Macaca mulatta: one gene and its partners. The protein of the gene in region 1 purifies or fractionates together with the protein of each later gene. This does not show direct contact. Links are inferred from orthologs where the notes say so. Each region holds a gene or a part of one and is shown in the gene's direction. Other genes may lie near its edges. The genes, in order: BNIP1, NBAS and RINT1.

Region 1 (5,429 bases):
CATAAGAAATTAATTTTAATAAAATAGTTTATTTAATCCATTATGTAAAATATTGTAATTTCAACATACAACTAATATTAAAAATTATTGAGATATTTTACATTCCTTTTTCTCTTTTTTGTTTTTTGAGAAGGAGTCTCGCTCTGTTGCCCAGGCTGGAGTGCAGTGGCGCCATCTCGGCTCACTGCAAGCTCCGCCTCCCAGGTTCACGCCATTCTCCTGCCTCAGCCTCCCGAGTAGCTGGGACTACAGGCACCCGCCACCACGCCCAGCTAATTTTTTGTATTTTTAGTAGAGACGGGGTTTCACCATGTTAGCCAGGATGGTCTTGATCTCCTGACCTCGTGATCTGCCTGCACCTGGCCCTTTTTCTCATATTAAGTCTTTGAAACATTGTGTGGATTTTGGCAAGGCACAGTGGCTCACACCTGTAATCACAGCACTTTGGGAGGCTGAGGCGGGTGGATCACCTGAGGTCAGGAGTTTGAGACCAGCCTGGCCAACATGGTGAAACCCCGTCTCTACTAAAAATACAGGAAGAAAATTAGCTGGGCGTGTGGTGCATGCCTGTAATCCCAGCTACTCGGGAGGCTGAGGCAGGAGAATCATTTGAACCCAGGAAGTGGAGGTTGTGATGAACCAAGATCATGCCACTACACTCCAGCCTGGATGACAGAGTGAGACTGCATCTCAAAAACAAACAAACAGGCCGGGCGCGGTGGCTCAAGCCTGTAATCCCAGCACTTTGGGAGGCCGAGGCGGGTGGATCACGAGGTCAGGAGATCGAGACTATCCTGGCTAACATGGTGAAACCCCGTCTCTACTAAAAATACAAAAAAAAACTAGCCGGGCGTGGTGGCGGGCGCCTGTAGTCTCAGCTACTTGGGAGGCTGAGGCGGGAGAATGGCGTGAACCCGGGAGGCGGAGCTTGCAGTGAGCCGAGATCATGCCACTGCACTCCAGCCTGGGAGACACAGCGAGACTCCGTCTCAAAAAACAAACAAACAAACAAACAAACAAACAAAAAAACATTTTGTGGATTTGACGCTCACTGACATCTCCATTTGGATTAGCCACGTTTTTCTATGCACAGCAGCCTTGCATGTCTAGGGGCTGCCATATTGGCCAGCACAGCTCTGGGCAGTACAAAAGGGACAGAGAAAAGGTCACTGTCTGTTCTGACCTCCAGCTGACCCCTACCTGCCAGCCCTCTGGTCCACTTCCCAGAGGCAACCAGTGTTACCAGTGTCTTTTTAAAAAAATATCTTGTGATCCTCCAAGCTTTTGTAACTTAAGCAAATGAAATACTATTTTATCTCCCTGTTTCTTACCTAAATGGAAACATTTCACAGGTGTTCCTTTACACTTTCCCTTTTCGCTCAACGTATTCTATTCAGTGGCTGTTCTGATGATGCCTCACTCTGTTTTGTGAGAGAATCTCGCCAGGTACACCTTCTACCCTCAGCGTCATGCCCAGATACCCATATTCAGAAATACATCTGACTCTGGGCACAATGATCCCTTAAGGGATATTGGCCTCTTCTTAGGTGTCACCTTCTTAAAGCTACAGCCAGTGTCCCTGGACTGAGGGACTGGTATGTGTGAGGGCTTAAGGCAGAGCCTGGCATACCCTTGCCCTTTTGAGATCCTGCAAAGAGCCAGTCTGGCCAGCAGATGTCCTAGAGGCCACACCTCACAGGTGGAAGGTTCTGGTGCGTTCGGCTGCTGCCCCAACACAGACCTCACAGTGCCCGCCCAAGATCCTCGGGTTGGTTTTATGGCTGGTGGTTCCCCTGAACAGCGTCCATCTGCTTCAGAGAGCTGAGGAGGTGGCTGGGGGAGCAAGCCTCTTCTGCCCTTCTCCCTGGTGACATTCACGTTCGAGGACTCCCAAACAAACCGCCTCACTCGCTCGAGCTGATGGGACCTGGGGAGGAGCCTTTCCTTGTCCGCTCCTTGGCTGGTCTCCACATGCTTTGATTCCAGCTCAGAGGAACTCGCTCGAGAATGCTGGTTTTTGTCAGCGTCCCAGCCAGCAGGGTGAGGTCTTTGGATCTTGAGCTGCAGTCTCTCTGAGTTAGGCCTCCTTCCTCTCTTGTTTCAGTCACTTCTTCACGAACGATCCTGGATGCAAATGAAGAATTTAAGTCCATGTCAGGGACCATCCAGCTGGGCCGGAAGCTTATCACAAAATACAATCGCCGGGAGCTGACGGACAAGCTTCTCATCTTCCTTGCGCTGGCTCTGTTTCTTGCTACGGTCCTCTATATCGTGAAAAAGCGGCTCTTTCCGTTTTTGTGAGATCCCAAAGGTGCCAGTTCTGGCCCTTTCAGCTCCTGTTTCAGGATCCTGGTTCCTGAGCTCTAGGCTGCCAAGCTGAGCCACACACCCCTCCATTTGTGCCACTTGCCTGCAGGTTGGATGGAACATAGTGCCCCACTTTTCCGCAAGTGGCTGGCTTGTAAAGGGTGAACAGAACCATGGGAGGGAGGCCTGTCATTGGGATGCCGCCCTGGGGACATAGGAACTGCCTCCTTCCCTCATCGTGCACTATGGGAGGCTGCGGCCACTCTGTGGGGCACTTAAAGTCCAGCCTCCAGGACCCGATGCCTCACCTGTCTCCCTCTCCCACCGTGCCCTTAAATGCCAGATCTGGTGGAGTGAAGAGAGAAGAGGTAGGAAGAAAGGTGATGAAAACTCCTGGTCATTCCTTGAATAAACTTGATTTTATTTAATAGAATAAAATGTATTGGATTTTGTAAGGTAGCCCTCTGAGAATGTGTGTTCCTCTTTCCTTTTTTCTTTTCTTTCTTTTTTTTTTTTTTTTTTGAGATGGAGACTTACTCTGTTGCCCAGGCAGGAGTGCAATGGTGCAATCCTGGGTCACTGCAGTCTCTGCCTCCTGGGTTCAAGAGATTCTCTTGCCTCAGCCCCCCAAGTAGCTGGGATTACAGGCATGCACCACCACACCCTGCTAATTTTTGTATTTTTATAGTAGAGATAGGGTTTCTCCATGTTGGCCAGGCTGATCTCAAACACCTGACCTCAGGTGATCCACCCGTCTTGGCCTCCCAAAGTGCTGGGATTACAGGTGTGAGCCACCAAGCCCGGCCCTCTTTTCTTGATGTCTGGATTTCTAGGACATGAACTTAGATTATTTATTCATTCATTCAACAAAGAATTATCATTATTAATTTTCTTTCTGTCGCCACCCAACAACAAGGAACTATTAAATAGCTGCCACGCACAGGGTGTTACAGACACTGCTGAACATTACAAATACATTGGTAAACCAGACGTGGTTCCTCCCTCAAGGAGGAACAGAAGGAGGCACAGAAATAAAATCTTCCAGACTATCAGGAAGGAGGGTCCAACAGCCCCTGTTCAACCAGGTGTAGTGAGTGATACCTCTAATCCCAGCATTTTGGGAGGCTGAGGCAGGATGATCACTTGAGCCTAGGAGTTCAAGACCAGCTGGGCAACATAGCAAGACCCTGTCTGTATTAAAACAACAACAACAACAACAACAAAAAACAGAAACAGAACAGAAAACAGCCCTTGTTGGAAGTGGCTCATACCAACATCTGAAAAGGTTGAGAGATGCCTTTCTCTACCACAGCAGCCTGGCCAGGCCTGGGGGTGTGCAGTGATTCGGGCTGGCACATGCCTTTCTCTCTGATGTCCAGAGCTAAGTATAACGAAGGAGGGAGAAGCTAGTGAGAAGCTGAGACTGTGAGCCCGAGTTCTGTCCAGGCCAGAGGGAGAGGGCCCAGGCTAGGCCAGCCCTAGAGGTGCTGTGTCTTTTGTGCTACAGGCCTGGCTGACCTCAAGCTTGAAATCCCAGCCTCCCCCACTATTTATAGCCCCAGAGGACTTGGGAGGGGCAGTGTGGAGGCTGAAGGGAAAGTGGAAATAACATGGACTTTGACCCTTGGCTCAAACACTTGGTTTTGAGATTTGGCTCCACTGCTAATGGACCGCAGGACCATTAGCAAGTTACCATATGTTGCTAAACCTCAGTTTTCCCATCTGTAAAATGGAGGAGATAGTCCATATGGGTCCTCATAGAGTCAACTTGAGAATGCAAAGAGAATATAAAGCAGCAAGTGTAGCTAGCTGTCTTCAGACCAGGCCTGCCATGGCGTTTCCAAATGCTGCCACCCCCAGGGCCCTGGGCACTGAGATTTTCTGCAGCTGACAGCAGAGGTGCTTCAGGAAAAGCTGGGCCAGGCACCAGCATTCTGTTAGAGGTGTTTGAGCAGAGGATGTCAAGAGTTATGGCCTCAGTTATAAAGTGGCAGATCATCATGGCACCAAGTTACAAAAACCTAGCTGCACATCTCAGACTAGCTTCATGAGTGGATTCTAAATACACACACACACACACACACACACACACACACACGCAAGCACAGATATTTTGTAGGCTGTATATCATCCTTAAACAATTCCTGGCCCCAAAAGACATTCACTGCAGATTGTGCACACATGTGTCTTATTTATAGTCAAATTAAAGCTGAGAATAAAGCACAGATGGGAAATTCCCACTCAGATTCCAGCTGTAAGTGCAGCAGATGGATGTTATCAAGTTAGGATTTTCTTGTCTTAACATTTTTCCTTACTGCTTCCCACTAATTGTCAACATCCTCCTCACAATATGGAATTGCGTGGGCTCTATATGGCCTAAAAATGCTCCCTTTGACACTGTATTCCTCTTTTACTTGCCTCCTTCTGAAAATAGAGTCAAATGTGACCCATTTTGAAATGTCATTGATAACAACATCTTGCAACCTCCATCAGCCACCAGGGTTAATCCTTCCCCAAAGCAGAGCGCGGCCCTCTCCGTGCTCAACCATGAGAGGGCAGTGTCCACATTTGCTCTACCGTCTTGCAGTGAGTGTGGTAATCTTCATCGATCCATTTGAAATGTTCTTTTGGATATATATGCACTGCATGTATATGTATATATGTACTGCATATGTATATGCAGTATATATATGTAGGTATCAGATTTTTTTTTTTTTGAGACGGAGTCTCAGTCTGTCACCCAGGTTGGAGTTCTGTGGCACTATCTCAGCTCACTGCAACCTCCGCCTCCTGGGTTCAAGCAGTTCTCTGCCTCAGCCTCCCGAGTAGCTGGGATTACAGGCACCAACCACCACGCCTGGCTAATTTTTTTTTTTGTATTTTTAGTAGACACTGGGTTTTACCATTTTGGCCAGGCTGGTCTTGAACTCCTGACCTCGTGATCCGCCTGTCTTGGCCTCCCAAAGTGCTGGGATTACAGGCGTGAGCCACCGCGCCTGGTCAGATTTTTTAAAACATAAATGTATGAAACTTACCTGTATTTTGTTTTTGGAATATGTTTCCTAAGTGGCCTTAATTTTCACTGTTAAACAGTAATGCAAGCTCAGATGCTCCATTTTTTT
Region 2 (6,614 bases), on another chromosome or scaffold:
TTCCATAGAAGAGACCTTTGGCACTTCTCTAGGGCTTGCTCCAATGTCTTTCTGCTTTTACTCTATGTATGTGTGTATGTGCATACATATGTATATATATGTATATATGTATGCATATTTACAATTTCTATACTTAATTGTATCACTTTTTTGTGGGTGTGGGCTATGATAGGATAGAGCAATGAGTAGGAAGAGAGAGTGGAAGTAGAGGATAGGAGTATGGGAGGTGGGCTGTGTTTTCTGACCTCTCCAGGTGACAACTTGTTAGTCCCGAACACCCTTGGATAAGATGTTAAGCTTGTCTTGTTCAGGTTACTGCTTGATAATTCTTTTTGTTATTTATTGAGAAGGAAGACTCAAAAAGTTAACTCTGATACAAGCCCTATCCTCTGTATGAGAACCTTATGATCAGGCATCATAAGTAGACAAGGTATCTTTTTGTCTCCCTTCCTCCTGAGAAGCCTTTGTCCTTGAATTGGCTGTGTTGATCATTGTACAGGTTGCAAATGCACCATGAAGTGATTAATCTGTCTCATGATGTGCTACTTTCAAAAAGATTATTGTTCCATTTGTGCTCTTGAGTTTATGGTAATTAAACCCAAAGGTTTTGGGGTCAATATTTGTTTCAAGTAGCTTTTTCTTATTTTTTTAAAAAAGTTCTTTTCTTTTAATTATACTGAGAATTATTGACAATATAATAAACCTGTATCAACTAGCTCTTTTTCTTTTTATGCAAAATGTTACATCTCAAGTCCTTTACTTTTCTCCTTTCCCTTCCCTTCCAGAGGAAATTATCCTCATATAGATAGTATTCACATACATGTTTCATATCTTCATTATATTTTTGTAACTGCCTTTTGATATTATTTTGTGTTTTAAAAAATGAGCATAAATGTGTTACATATATATATATATTTATATATATATTTTTTTAAAGAGAGGGTCTTATTGCGTTGGTCAGGCTGTAGTACAGTGGCTCTTCACAGGCAAGATCATGGTACACTGTAGCTTTAAACTCCTGGGCTCAAGCAGTCCTCCTGCCTCAGCCTCCCGTGTAGCTGAGACTATAGGCCCATACCGTCGCGCCTGGCCACTAACATTTTGAAATCCTATTTTGTCTTTTCTGATTTCCATAATGTATTTTTTTTCTATTTTTCTTTCATGGAATTATGTTCTTTATTCTTCTTTTCCATCTGTTTTCTTGATTTCTTCAGGTATTAGTCCTCTAATTTGCTGTGTCTACTTATCACTTATGGTGGGTAGTTTCGTGTCTTTTGTGAATGGTTTTATTTTGAACTTACGCTTGCAGATTCTTCCATCACGTGAGTAAAGTGAAATTGTAATCTGGTCTTGCATGTAGTACAGACTTGGACTTTCACGTTTTCATGGGAGATTTGATTCCGGTCCTCCACAGAACCGTGGTTCCAGGGAAGAAGAGAGTCTGTAGTCTCCCTGGGCCTATGGTGAAGTGTTTCTGGTTCCTTAAGTGACCTGGTGCAGTCATTGCTTTTGCAGGATTCTCACTTCCAACTCCTGTCCTCTCTTTGGTTCAATGGCTCATTTCCTAGCCTGCGTGCTAAGTCCTGTTTTGAGTCCTTGTCTCTCTCTTTACCCTGTGCCCAATTCTAGCTTTCGGTGACCTTTTCATTTCTAGTACTTGGAAATTTATCTTTCTTTCTTGTGAGTTTAACTCGATGTTAAAATTTGTTTTTGTTACAGCTGAGCCAGAGTTCCTAGGTAGTTAGAGCAGAAAGGGTTGGTGTAAGTGTACTCTGCTCTGTCATTGGTATGCTAGATGTCTGTTTCCTGGGAAGTACATAACTATACCTTTGAACACACCACTGTGTTTTTTGGAAATAGAGAAATATATATGGTCAAATTTCAGCTACCAAATAGTAACTTTTGGTTTTGGATTTGCTAATATTCAAATTTTATATTCTAATGGAAAAAAAATCTCTCTCTGTCTCTCTGTAAGTATATGTGCTCTTTGTGTGCTTATATGTGGTTTTCATGAGTAGATTTTAAGCTAACTAATGTGTTGTAATTTCAGCCCTGCACCTTTTTTGCTCCCTGATGGACTGGTTCGCTTGATTAATAAACAAATAAACTGGCATTTGGTACTAGCAAGGTAAGGAAGTGTAAAATTCATATGTGTTTCTATCTGGATTTGCTTTTACATTTCATTATGGATGTTGATTTTGGAATCCTCATGGCTTTCAGTCTTTTTATTGTATGTAAATCTCTTTGTTGCAAATATTTAGTATTGTTTAAACATGTTAATTCATGCTGTATTAAATCATTTCGTATGCTTTTGTACCTATATCCTCATCTAATTGTAAGGTCAAAAGATGGATAATTAAAGCATGTGAACAAATTTAGAAATGATTTTTAACTTATTAAAGTTAAAAATTAAACTTATTAAATAATTATTAAACTTATTAAATAATTCCATCTGTGTTGAAAACTGCTACAGATATTGATAATAGATTTTCTTCCCCCTCTTTCTTCTCCATAAAAGCAATGGAAAGCTTTTGGCTGCTGTTCAAGATCAGTGTGTGGAAATCAGGTAATTGTTAATATTATTCATATTCAAGATTTCCTTTGAGAAACGTTTGTTACTCTGTAAATGGAAACTAAGATTTTTATAGGGGGTATATTTAAAAGGATTTTATTTTTAACTCACTTAATTTTGTGAGTGTCAAACACCAACTTATGCCAGTTGGAAAATTAAGGATGCTTTCTCAGAGTTATATGCTTATCTTTCTCCTTCCCCAGATCATTCTGTTGCTTCTTAAGAAATTTTACTTTCTCGGTAAACGAGGCCTATCCTCCAGAACTGTGGAAATCACTTTGTTTGACTATTTACTGCTACATCAGCTAAACAGACACTCAGGAAGGTGTAAAAGAGTAGGGATGGTTCAGCACTTTGGGAGGCTGCGGCGGGCGGATCACAAGGTCAAGAGATTGAGATCATCCTGGCCAACATGGTGAAACCCTGACTCTCCTAAAATTACAAAAATTCGCTGGGCATGGTGGCGTGCACCTGTAGTTCCAGCTATTCGGGAGGCTGAGGCAGGAGAATTGCTTGAACCTGGGAGGCAGTGAGCCGAGAACTGGTTGCAGTGAGCAGAGATTGTGCCACTGCACTCCAGTCTGGCGACAGAGCGAGACTCCATCTCAAAAAAAAAAAAAAAAAAAAAAGGGATGGTTTTGCTCTGTTGGTTCAAAACTGTAGATTGAATATGGGTGTTCAAAAGACCAAGGTTACGTATTACTTGAGACCAATTATGCTGTCTGTCGTCTTGAGACATTCAGTGGTATTATATACACATCTAAAGACGTCTCTAAACTGGACTTTTCAGGTGTTTTATTTTTAAACAATGTATCAGTTATGAAAGAAATATCCATAGCAACTAAGAAAAATGAGTTCATTCTTTAGGAAATGTTATTAGGAAAATCATGTGGAAGAGGAATATATTTACTATTCATTAAGTGGAAGTGGACCGTTATAAAGGTCTTCATTATTGTCATCTTCACATGGAGTGGGCTGAGGAGGAGGAGGAAGAAGGGAAGGTGGTCCTGCTGTCTCAGAGTGGTAGAGGTAGAAGAAAATCCACATAGACATGGACCTGCACAGTTGAAACCTGTGTTGTTCAAGGATCAACTGTAGTAATTCCATATTTCCTTGAGTGCACATAGCGAAGTTTAATCTCTTTATACTGGATATTATTTTCCTCCTTTATAAATGAGACCATACCAGTTTTTTTGATATTCATATGTATCTGTAATTATTTCCTGGGGATAACTTTATAGAAATAGAATTGTTAGGTCAAACGCTACCGACATGAAGGTTTTGGATAATTGTTTTTAAATTATTTTCTAGAAGGTTTGCCAGTTTTCATTTTTAAATATTTTATAATAATTATGCTACTTGGTATATATTTCAGGATCACAGATTTAAAACAGGTTATTGATTTAAATATGGTGACGTATTAAGGCTCTTTGATTTCTTAAAATACGACTTTTTTCCCCTAAGTGATCAAACTTTGTAATATGATACAGACCAGTGGTTCTTAATTAGGATTGATGTATCCAGCAAAAAAATATTTTTGCTTGGGCCCCATCCCAGATTTCTTGATTCAGAACCTTTAGGGATGGGGACCAGACATCTCTATTGTATGAAAAGACCATGGTAAATTCACTTAGGCTGTGTCACTATATTCCATGTATATATCTCCATACAAAGTAGCTGTGTATCTGATGCAATAAGAAGGTTGGAAGAAAATATTGTCACTGACAAAAGGGTCATAATTGAGCCACAAAACCATGTCTGAGAGGAGAAATGATTGAGCATTGTATATAGAGACTATCTAGTCCACAGTATCTGGTATTTTATGGTTCTATACAATGTTATGATAAAACTTTTGCCTTGATTTTACATGTTTTACAGGTCTGCAAAAGATGATTTTACATCCATTATCGGGAAATGTCAAGGTAAGAGTTTCCAAAATATTTAAAGAATGAAAATTTCAAATGTGCAATGGTTTACAATGTTTCTTAAAAGTTAGGATAGATATTAAATGTTTATTAAGGATTATCATGACTATTAAAATAATTAAACAACATAACTGCTTTTTTTTTTTTTTTTTTTACTGTCTTAAATATTTTGCTTTAAAATGGTTCATTTTGGTGAGATTTGGAAACTGGGTTCCAAAAAATGTCTAAGCCAGTTTTGGGATGAAGTATTTTTAACTGTCTGTAGCCTTTTATTTTGGATTAAATGCAGAAATAAATAGGTGTAAGTCAAGAGTTAGAAACAGACTAGTAAAAAGTCTAGGATTTGGTCATGTTTAAAATATATTCAGCAAAAATTTACTGACTGTAATTTATGTGTATGTGCTGTTTTGCTGGGTGCTTGAGGTATGATTGTGAGCAAAAAGACCTGGTCTTTTATCTCATGAAGCATATAGATGCTCAAATATATAATTACAAACTTTGACAAATCTAATTAAGGAAAAATTAAATCCCATGAGATTTCTCAACTAGGGGTGGCAGATGAGATGGCTGAGAAAGAAAAATGACTTTTGGAAAGCAACTTTAAGAATGAGTAGTCTGGGCACAGTGGCTCATACCTGTAATCCCAGTACTTTGGGAGGCTGAGGTGGGCGGATCACTTGCGGTCAGGAGTTTGAGACCTGCTTGGCTGACATGGTGAAACCCCGTCTCTATTAAAAATACAAAAATTAGCCAGGCGTGGTGACACATGCCTGTAATTCCAACTACCTGGGAGGCCAAGGCAAGAGAATCGCTTGAACCTGGGAGATGGAGGTGACAGTGAGCCAAGATTGAGCCACTGGACTCCAGCATGGGCAACAGAGTCAGACTCTGCCTCAAAAAAAAAAAAAAAAAAAAGAATGACTAGAAGGTAGAAGAAGACAGGGAGTATTTCGGTCTGCAGGAGCAGTGTATGAAAAGGCAGAAGGAGCTGGGCGTGGTGGCTCATGCCTATAATCCCAGCACTTTGGGAGGCCAAGGTGGGTGGATCACAGGGTCAGGAGTTCGAGACCAGCCTGACCAACATGGTGAAACACCGTCTCTACTAAAAATACAAAAATTAGCCAGGCATAATGGTATGTGCCTGTAATCCCAGCTACTCAGGAGGCTGAGGCAGGAGAATCGCTTGAATTTAGGAGGAGGAGGTTGCAGTGAGCCAAGATCACGCTACTGCCCTCCAGCCTGGGCGGCAACAGTGAGACTCCATCTCAAAAAAGAAAGAAAAAAAAGAAAAGGTAGAAGGAACCTTATGGGAGAGAAAGAGAGTGGTTTTAGGAAAATGCATCTATTACCTTTGTTTTATTTACAGGACCTGCAGTTCCATCTGTCTGATCTTGTGTTAGTTTAACAGTGTAATTGTTGTAGGAAGTATAATGATGGTAATCATGGTCATTGTGTTCATTTATATACAAACATTTATAGTGTTCTTACTGTATGCCTGGCACTGTATTTAGGGCTTTATATGATTTTCTTGTGTAATAGAAATACAGCAGTATAAATATTTTATCTTAAAACAGTATTAGGATAAAATATATATTTGACATCAATAGAGAGCAAGGAGGTGGGAGGCACTGGTAGTTTTCAGAACTATAATATGGTAATACAGAAGATTCCCCCACTCCCTCATGGAAATACTGTTATTTTTAATTTTTTAAAATTTTTTTTATTTTTTGAGATAGGGCCTGGCAACAGGGCCTCACTCTCTTGCCAGGCTGGAGGGCAGTGGTGTGATCATGGTTCACTGCAGCCTGACCTTGTGGGCTGAAGCGATCTTCCTGCCTCAGCCTCCTGAGTAGCTGAGACCGTAGGCACGCACCAGTACACCTGGCTAACTTTTTATTATTTTAAAATTTTTTTGTAGAGACGAGGTTCTTGCCTTGTTGCCCAGGCTAGCCTCAAACTCCTGGGCTCAAGCAGTTCTCCTGCCTCAGCCTCCCAAAGTGCTGGGATTATAGGTGTGAGCCACTGTGCCCAGCCTGTAAGAGAGAGAGAACGGATAATCATTGTAATTGTACTAAGTGCCATGATGGAGAAGAATCACTTTCAGCTTAACTTTACCA
Region 3 (6,614 bases), on another chromosome or scaffold:
GTAGCGGGGACTACAGGTCTGTGGCTACCACACTCAGCTAATATTTTTTTTCTAGAGATAAGGTCTCACTATAAAATGATTCTCTGGCCTTAGCCTCGTAAAGTGCTGGCACTACAGGCATGAGGTACCATGTGCAGCCTTTCAAACTGTTAACACATAGACTTACCATAAGATCCAGCAATTCCACTCTTCAGTACATACCAAGAGAAATGAAACATATGTCCACATAAAAACTTGTACTGCCGAGCGTGGTGGCTTATGCCTGTAATCCCAGCACTTTGGGAGGCTGAGGTGGGCAGATCATGAGGTCAGGAGTTTGAGACCAGTCTGACCAATATGGTGAAACACCATCTCTACGAAAACTACAAAAAAAAAAAAATTAGCCGGGCATCATGGTACACACCTGTAATCCCAGGTACTCAGGAGGCTGAGGCAGGAGAATTGCTTGAACCCAGGAGGTAGAGGTGGAGGTTGCAGTTAGCCGAGGCATGATCTCAGCTCACTGCAACCTCTGCCCTCCAGGTTCACGCAATTCAGCCTCCTGAGTAGCTAGGATTACAGGCACATGCCACTATGCCCAGCTAATTTTTGTATTTTTAGTAGATGGGGTGTCACAATGTTGGAATGTTGGCCAGGCTGGTTTCGAACTCCTGACCTCAGGTGATCCACCCACCTCGGCCTCCCAAAGTACTGGGATTACAGGCGTGAGCCACCGTGCCCAGCTGAATTATACACTTTAAATGGGTGAATTGTATGATATATGAATTCTCTTTCAAGCTGTTTAAAAAAAAAAAGTATGTTAATGTGTTAACATGTTTTTGCTTTCAGTTCTTTCTACAACTTCAACAGGCTGCACTGGAGGTGTTTGCAGAGAATAATACTCTGAGTAAATTGCAGCTGGGACAGCTAGCCTCTATGGAGAGCTCCGTCTTTGATGACATGATTAACCTCTTAGAGCGTTTAAAGCATGATATGTTGACCCGTCAAGTAGACCATGTTTTTAGAGAAGTTAAAGATGCTGCAAAATTGTATAAAAAAGAAAGGTATGTCCTCTATGTAAGTCAGCTCTTAATACCAGTTTGGTAAAAGTTGAAGATGGTATATGTGGTCAGATTTCCAAGGTATCTAGATAGAACCTGGTTTGGCCTTATGTACTTTAAACTTCATTGTTGGAAATCTTTCTAAAATATGTTCTTGGACATTTTTTTTTTTTTTCAAGACAGTCCTACTCTGTCACCCAGGCTGGAGTGCAGTTGCATGATCTCGGCTCATTGCAGCCTCCACCTTAGAGGTCAAGTGATCTTCCCACCTCAGCCTCCCAAGTAGCTGGGACTACAGGCATGCACCACCACACCCGGCTAATTTTTGTAGTTTTAGTGGAGACCTGGTTTCACATTTTGGCAGGCTGATCTCCAGCTCCTGACCTCAGGCAATCCACTGCCTCGGCCTCCCAATGTGCTAGGATTACAGGTGTGAGCCATCACACCTGGCTCGCTGACATTCTTAATCAGAATAAACTGGTTATAATTTAGCTGTTTGTAAATATATTAATAGGATAGTGTGTGATATGGGGTTGAATAGCCTAACCTGTCTCCCATTTTGCAAAGTAAAGTCACCTGTGGTACTCTGCATACTTTTGTTGTGGTTTATCCCACTACCATTCACTGTGAACACCTGTGTTACTTTCATCCTTGATAGCAAGCAGTATCTTTTTGTCCTAGTGTAGTCCCTGCCACACAGAGTGCCAAAAATTTGTGTTATTCGTCCTGATTTTACTAAAAATCAGAGCATAATATTAGCTGATGTCTTAATTAAAATGCTAAAATCAGGTTGGGTGCAGTGGCTCACACCTGTAATCCCAGCACTTTGGGACGCCAAGGCAGGCAGATCACTTGAGAGCAGGAATTCGAAACTAGCCTGGCCAACGTGGTGAAACTCTGTCTCTACTAAAAATACAAAGATTAGCTGGGCGTGGTGCTGGGCACCTGTAATCCCAGCTACTTGGGAGGCTGAGACACGAGAATTGCTTGAACCCTCTGGCTCTAGCCTGGCCAACAGAGCGAGACTCTGTCTCAAAAAAAAAAAAAAAAACCAAAAACCAAAACAAAACAAAAACTACATAAAATGCAAAAATTAAGTGACATTTAAATTGTAATTGCTTTGTATTGGTAATCCCCATATTAAAATTTGGGGATATTTCCAAAATATCCCCATATTAAAGAGTATTTGAGAGTGAAAATATAAAATACAGGTACATTTATTTTCTGATAGAGCTTTTAATGTTGGACTGTGTATTTTTTCTTATCCAAAATGCCCTAGAACACTTCCTCCAATTTAAAATGACTTAAAAACTTTAAAAATACAAACCAATGAAAATTTTTTGGTAAAAATGTGTTTTTTCCAGATGGTTGTCCTTGCCATCTCAGTCAGAGCAGGCAGTGATGTCCCTGTCCAGTTCGGCCTGCCCCTTACTGCTGACTTTACGAGACCATTTACTTCAGTTGGAGCAGCAGCTTTGTTTCTCCTTATTTAAAATTTTCTGGCAAATGCTTGTAGAGAAGCTGGATGTATACATCTACCAAGAAGTAAGTAAGAATAGACTGTCTTTGGGCTGTGATAATAAAGACAAGCATTAAATGAATTATTCTTTGTTTCAGATAATTCTTGCTAATCACTTCAATGAAGGAGGAGCAGCCCAGCTGCAGTTTGATATGACTCGGAATCTTTTCCCTTTGTTTTCTCACTATTGCAAGAGACCAGAAAATTATTTTAAACAGTAAGCTCAACATTTAACAATTAATATTAATGTATCAAATTGTTACAGGAGGCTAACTCCTTTTAACTTTAGGGTTCTGGAGATGTTTGGGTGGGATAAGATCAGTTGAAGTTTTAAAACATTGTCTACTGTATGTTTACAGCACAATGGGGAAACCAAAATGATAGATGTGACCCGTGACCTCAAAAGGTTTCAGAACTAGATATAAATTATATACTGGGTTTTGTTTTCTAGTATTTGGTTTAATGCTTCTAGTTGCTTGGTTACTGGAGGAATAAATCGAAAATGAAAAAAAGTTGTGCCCTATTCACTAAATATAAGAAATTACAGGGCCGGGTGCAGTGGCTCACGCCTGTAATCACAACACTTTGGGAGGCCGAGACGGGCGGATCACGAGGTCAGGAGATCGAGACCATCCTGGCTAACATGATGATACCCCATCTCTACTAAAAATACAAAAAAAAAAAAAAAATTAGCCAGGCATGGTAGCGGGTGCCTGTAGTTCCAGCTACTCGGGAGGCTGAGGCAGGAGAATGGCGTGAACCTGGGAGGCGGAGCTTGCAGTGAGCTGAGATTGCACCACTGCACTCCAGCCTGGGAAACAGAGCAAGACTGTGTCTCAAAAAAACAACAACAAAAAAAATTACAAATATGTTTAATACTTAATAGGCCAGGCCTGAAAGAAATTTGTTTCCTTAAACATTTGACATTAATTTTGGTTCTAACTGTAATTATAGTTTGAGAATTTGTTGATATAAAATTTAAATTATAGACCAGGCATAGTAGCCCACACCTGTAATCCCAGTACTTTGGGAGGCAGAGGTGGGAGAATTGCTTGAGGCCAGGTGTTTGAGACCAGCCTGGGCAACATAGCAAGACTCCATCTCTACAAAAAGTATTAAAATGAACAAACAAAAAGCCAGATGTGGTGGTATGGACCTGTAGTCCTAGCTACTTGGGAGACTGAGGCTGTAGTGAGCTATGATCATGCAATGGCACTCCAGCCTAGGTGACAGAGCAAGATGATGTCTCAAAAAAAAAAGTAAAATTTGAACTGTTTGGGTTTTGTGAGGTTATAAAGCATTCCTTTTAAACTTGTAAAATGAAAGCTTATGTTTACATGTTTCATATGACAGCTTTTAAAATTTAATGTTCTTTCTGCTGCCTTCATTTTATCCCTTATTTTTGTCTTTTCCCATATTCTAATCTACCTAAAGTTATAGCCATATTTAATATAGTATTAATATCAAGTATTGTATTTAGGGAAATAATGGATACATATTGAAATAGGGATCCTATCACCTTAATCTAAAGAAATAGAAACTCTGCACCTGTGTAGTCTTACCATGTTAAAAGAACCAAATAATAAATCCATAAGTATTTTTATAGAGAACATGTGGACCAGCAGTACAGAGAAGCTGTTTAGGATTCTCAAAATTGTTATAATATGGTTGATGCGGCCGGGCGCGGTGGCTCAAGCCTGTAATCCCAGCACTTTGGGAGGCCGAGACGGGTGGATCACGAGGTCAGGAGATCGAGACCATCCTGGCTAACACGGTGAAACTCCGTCTCTACTAAAAAAAAAAATACAAAAAAGCCAGGCAAGGTGGCGGGAGGCTGAGGTAGGAGAATGGCAGGAACCCGGGAGGCGGAGCTTGCAGTGAGCCGAGATCGCGCCACGGCACTCCAGCCCGGGCGACAGAGCGAGACTCCGTCTCAAAAAAAAAAAAAAAAATGGTTGATGCAGATAATGGAGATCTCATTTCCCTCCTTTGTGTTCCCTAAACAGCATAAAAGAAGCCTGTATTGTTTTGAATTTGAACGTCGGTTCTGCACTACTCCTGAAAGATGTACTGCAGTCAACTTCAGGGCAACTTCCTGCCACAGCAGCATTAAATGAAGTTGGAATTTACAAACTGGCTCAACAAGATGTTGAGATTCTACTTAATTTGAGGACAAATTGGCCTAATACTGGAAAATAATGTCTTTCAGAAAAACGTTTTCTTGGTTTTTGTTTTTAAGAGGAAGCCAATTGGATTTCAAGTTATACGATGAAATTCTGAATTAATGAAACTGGAAAACTTTATAGGATTAATTATCTTGGATTTATGGCGTTATTAAAATGCTGACCATATTTCCTTCATCCTCTTGTTCCTAAGGAAACAAAAACAGAAAACGAAACAATGAAAACTCATTCTATTTACAAGTATAAATGCTGAGTATGTCTGTTGAAGACAAGAGCAGAGATATTAAATTATAACCAACTTTCAATTTCCTGTGCTAATTAAGGAAAATTCTGTTGTGGATAATCAAACATAGCCAATAAATTTTTTTTTAAACTCACTTTAGAATGCATATTTTAATTGAGGCACCTGTATCTAGTTTGGGAATTCACTATATTTCCTTAAGAAAACTGGCAGGGCACAGTGTCTCATTCCTGTAATCCTAGCACTTTAGGAGACTGAGGTAGGAGGATCGCTTGAGGCAGGAGTGCAAAACCAGCCCGGCCAACATGTCAAGACCCTGATTGCATGTCTGTAGTTCTAGCTACTTGGGAGGCTGAGGTGGGAGGATAACTTGAGCCCAGGAGGTCAAGACTACAGTGAGCTGTGATTGTGACACTGCACTGCAGCCTGGGCAAGTGAACAAGACCCTGTCTCTAAAAAAAAAAAAAAAAAAAAAAAAACCACATTGTGAGATGGTGAATAAGATAGGATTGTTCTTCTTTCTCACAAATGTCCTTCTATTTTAAATGCTTCCTAGTTTCATTCTGTCTGACAGTGGGCAACATTTTCTTTCTGGATGAAACATTTCAGGCCATGGCACTCTGACTCAAACATTCCCACGTGGTAGGGAATGTAATTAAACATTATTATTTATGTAACTGATGAGACAAAAATCTCAAGTTTCTTTTTTCTTGTAACTTTTCCTTGACCTTGGGCTATATTCAATAATAGCTTCTTAACTAATAAAATCTCAGAGTAAAACTTCTTAAAAAATTGAGCTAGATTCCCTGGAAACTTTCTACAACTATTAAATTTTATTCCAGTGGTTTTTCTCTGACTTAGCAGTGATTTAATCCTGTAATATCTCAAAATCTAAAATTAGGCTGGGTGCGGTGGCTCACGCTTGTAATCCCAGTACTTTGGGAGGCCAAGGCGGGTGGATCACCTGAGGTCGGGAGTTTGAGACCAGCCTGACCAACATGGAGAAACCCTGTCTCTGCTGAAAATACGAAATTAGCCGGGCGTGGTGGCGCATGCCTGTAATCCCAGCTACTCAGAAGGCTGAGGCAGGAGAATTGCTTGAACCTGGGAGGCGGAGGTTGCCATGAGCCGAGATCACACCACTGCACTCCAGCCTGGGCAAAAGAGTGAAACTCTGTCTCAAAAAAAAAAAAAAAAATTTAAAATTATCAGACTAACATGCAGCCTATGCTACTGATAAACATTGACTTTGTGATAATTTTGAGCTAAATTGTATTAGTATGTATTTTATAGAGAGAGTTTCCAGCTAGTGTGTTGAGCTCAAAGTGTCTCTGTTAGTTGTCCCAGCATAGTGGTGATTCTTCACCTCATCCTTTGAGAATTGCTGGGGCTTCCTATTTAGAATGGAGCTGGCTGGGCGCAGCCCATTACATGCCTGTAATCCCAGCACTTTGGGAGGCCGAGGCAGTGGATCACTTGAGGTCAGGAGTTCGAGATCAGCCTGGCCAACATGGTGAAACCCTGACTCTACTAAAATTACAAAAGTTTGGGCCTGGTGATGCGCATCTGTAAGCCCAGCTACTGGGAAGCTGAGGCAGGAGAATCGCTTGAAGCTGGGAGGTGGAGGTTGC

Evidence for each region.
Region 2: the proteins of BNIP1 (region 1) and NBAS purify together in Homo sapiens (co-immunoprecipitation; 3 studies listed by BioGRID and IntAct, with this or other methods). This does not show direct contact. The link is inferred for Macaca mulatta from reciprocal best matches to the Homo sapiens genes BNIP1 and NBAS.
Region 3: the proteins of BNIP1 (region 1) and RINT1 purify together in Homo sapiens (co-immunoprecipitation; 3 studies listed by BioGRID and IntAct, counting the BioPlex papers as one, with this or other methods). This does not show direct contact. The link is inferred for Macaca mulatta from reciprocal best matches to the Homo sapiens genes BNIP1 and RINT1.

What each region holds. Positions count from the first base shown.
Region 1 is NC_133411.1:182,045,468-182,050,896, forward strand, and holds the end of BNIP1 (vesicle transport protein SEC20), read left to right. Parts: intron 1-2,104; coding exon 2,105-2,301; 3' UTR 2,302-2,764; downstream 2,765-5,429. UniProt on the Homo sapiens protein: As part of a SNARE complex may be involved in endoplasmic reticulum membranes fusion and be required for the maintenance of endoplasmic reticulum organization. Also plays a role in apoptosis.
Region 2 is NC_133418.1:109,395,821-109,402,434, forward strand, and holds part of NBAS (NBAS subunit of NRZ tethering complex), read left to right. Parts: intron 1-2,050; coding exon 2,051-2,128; intron 2,129-2,518; coding exon 2,519-2,566; intron 2,567-4,450; coding exon 4,451-4,494; intron 4,495-6,614. UniProt on the Homo sapiens protein: Involved in Golgi-to-endoplasmic reticulum (ER) retrograde transport; the function is proposed to depend on its association in the NRZ complex which is believed to play a role in SNARE assembly at the ER. Required for normal embryonic development.
Region 3 is NC_133408.1:145,163,535-145,170,148, forward strand, and holds the end of RINT1 (RAD50-interacting protein 1), read left to right. Parts: intron 1-828; coding exon 829-1,043; intron 1,044-2,404; coding exon 2,405-2,585; intron 2,586-2,657; coding exon 2,658-2,776; intron 2,777-4,565; coding exon 4,566-4,758; 3' UTR 4,759-5,119; downstream 5,120-6,614. UniProt on the Homo sapiens protein: Involved in regulation of membrane traffic between the Golgi and the endoplasmic reticulum (ER); the function is proposed to depend on its association in the NRZ complex which is believed to play a role in SNARE assembly at the ER.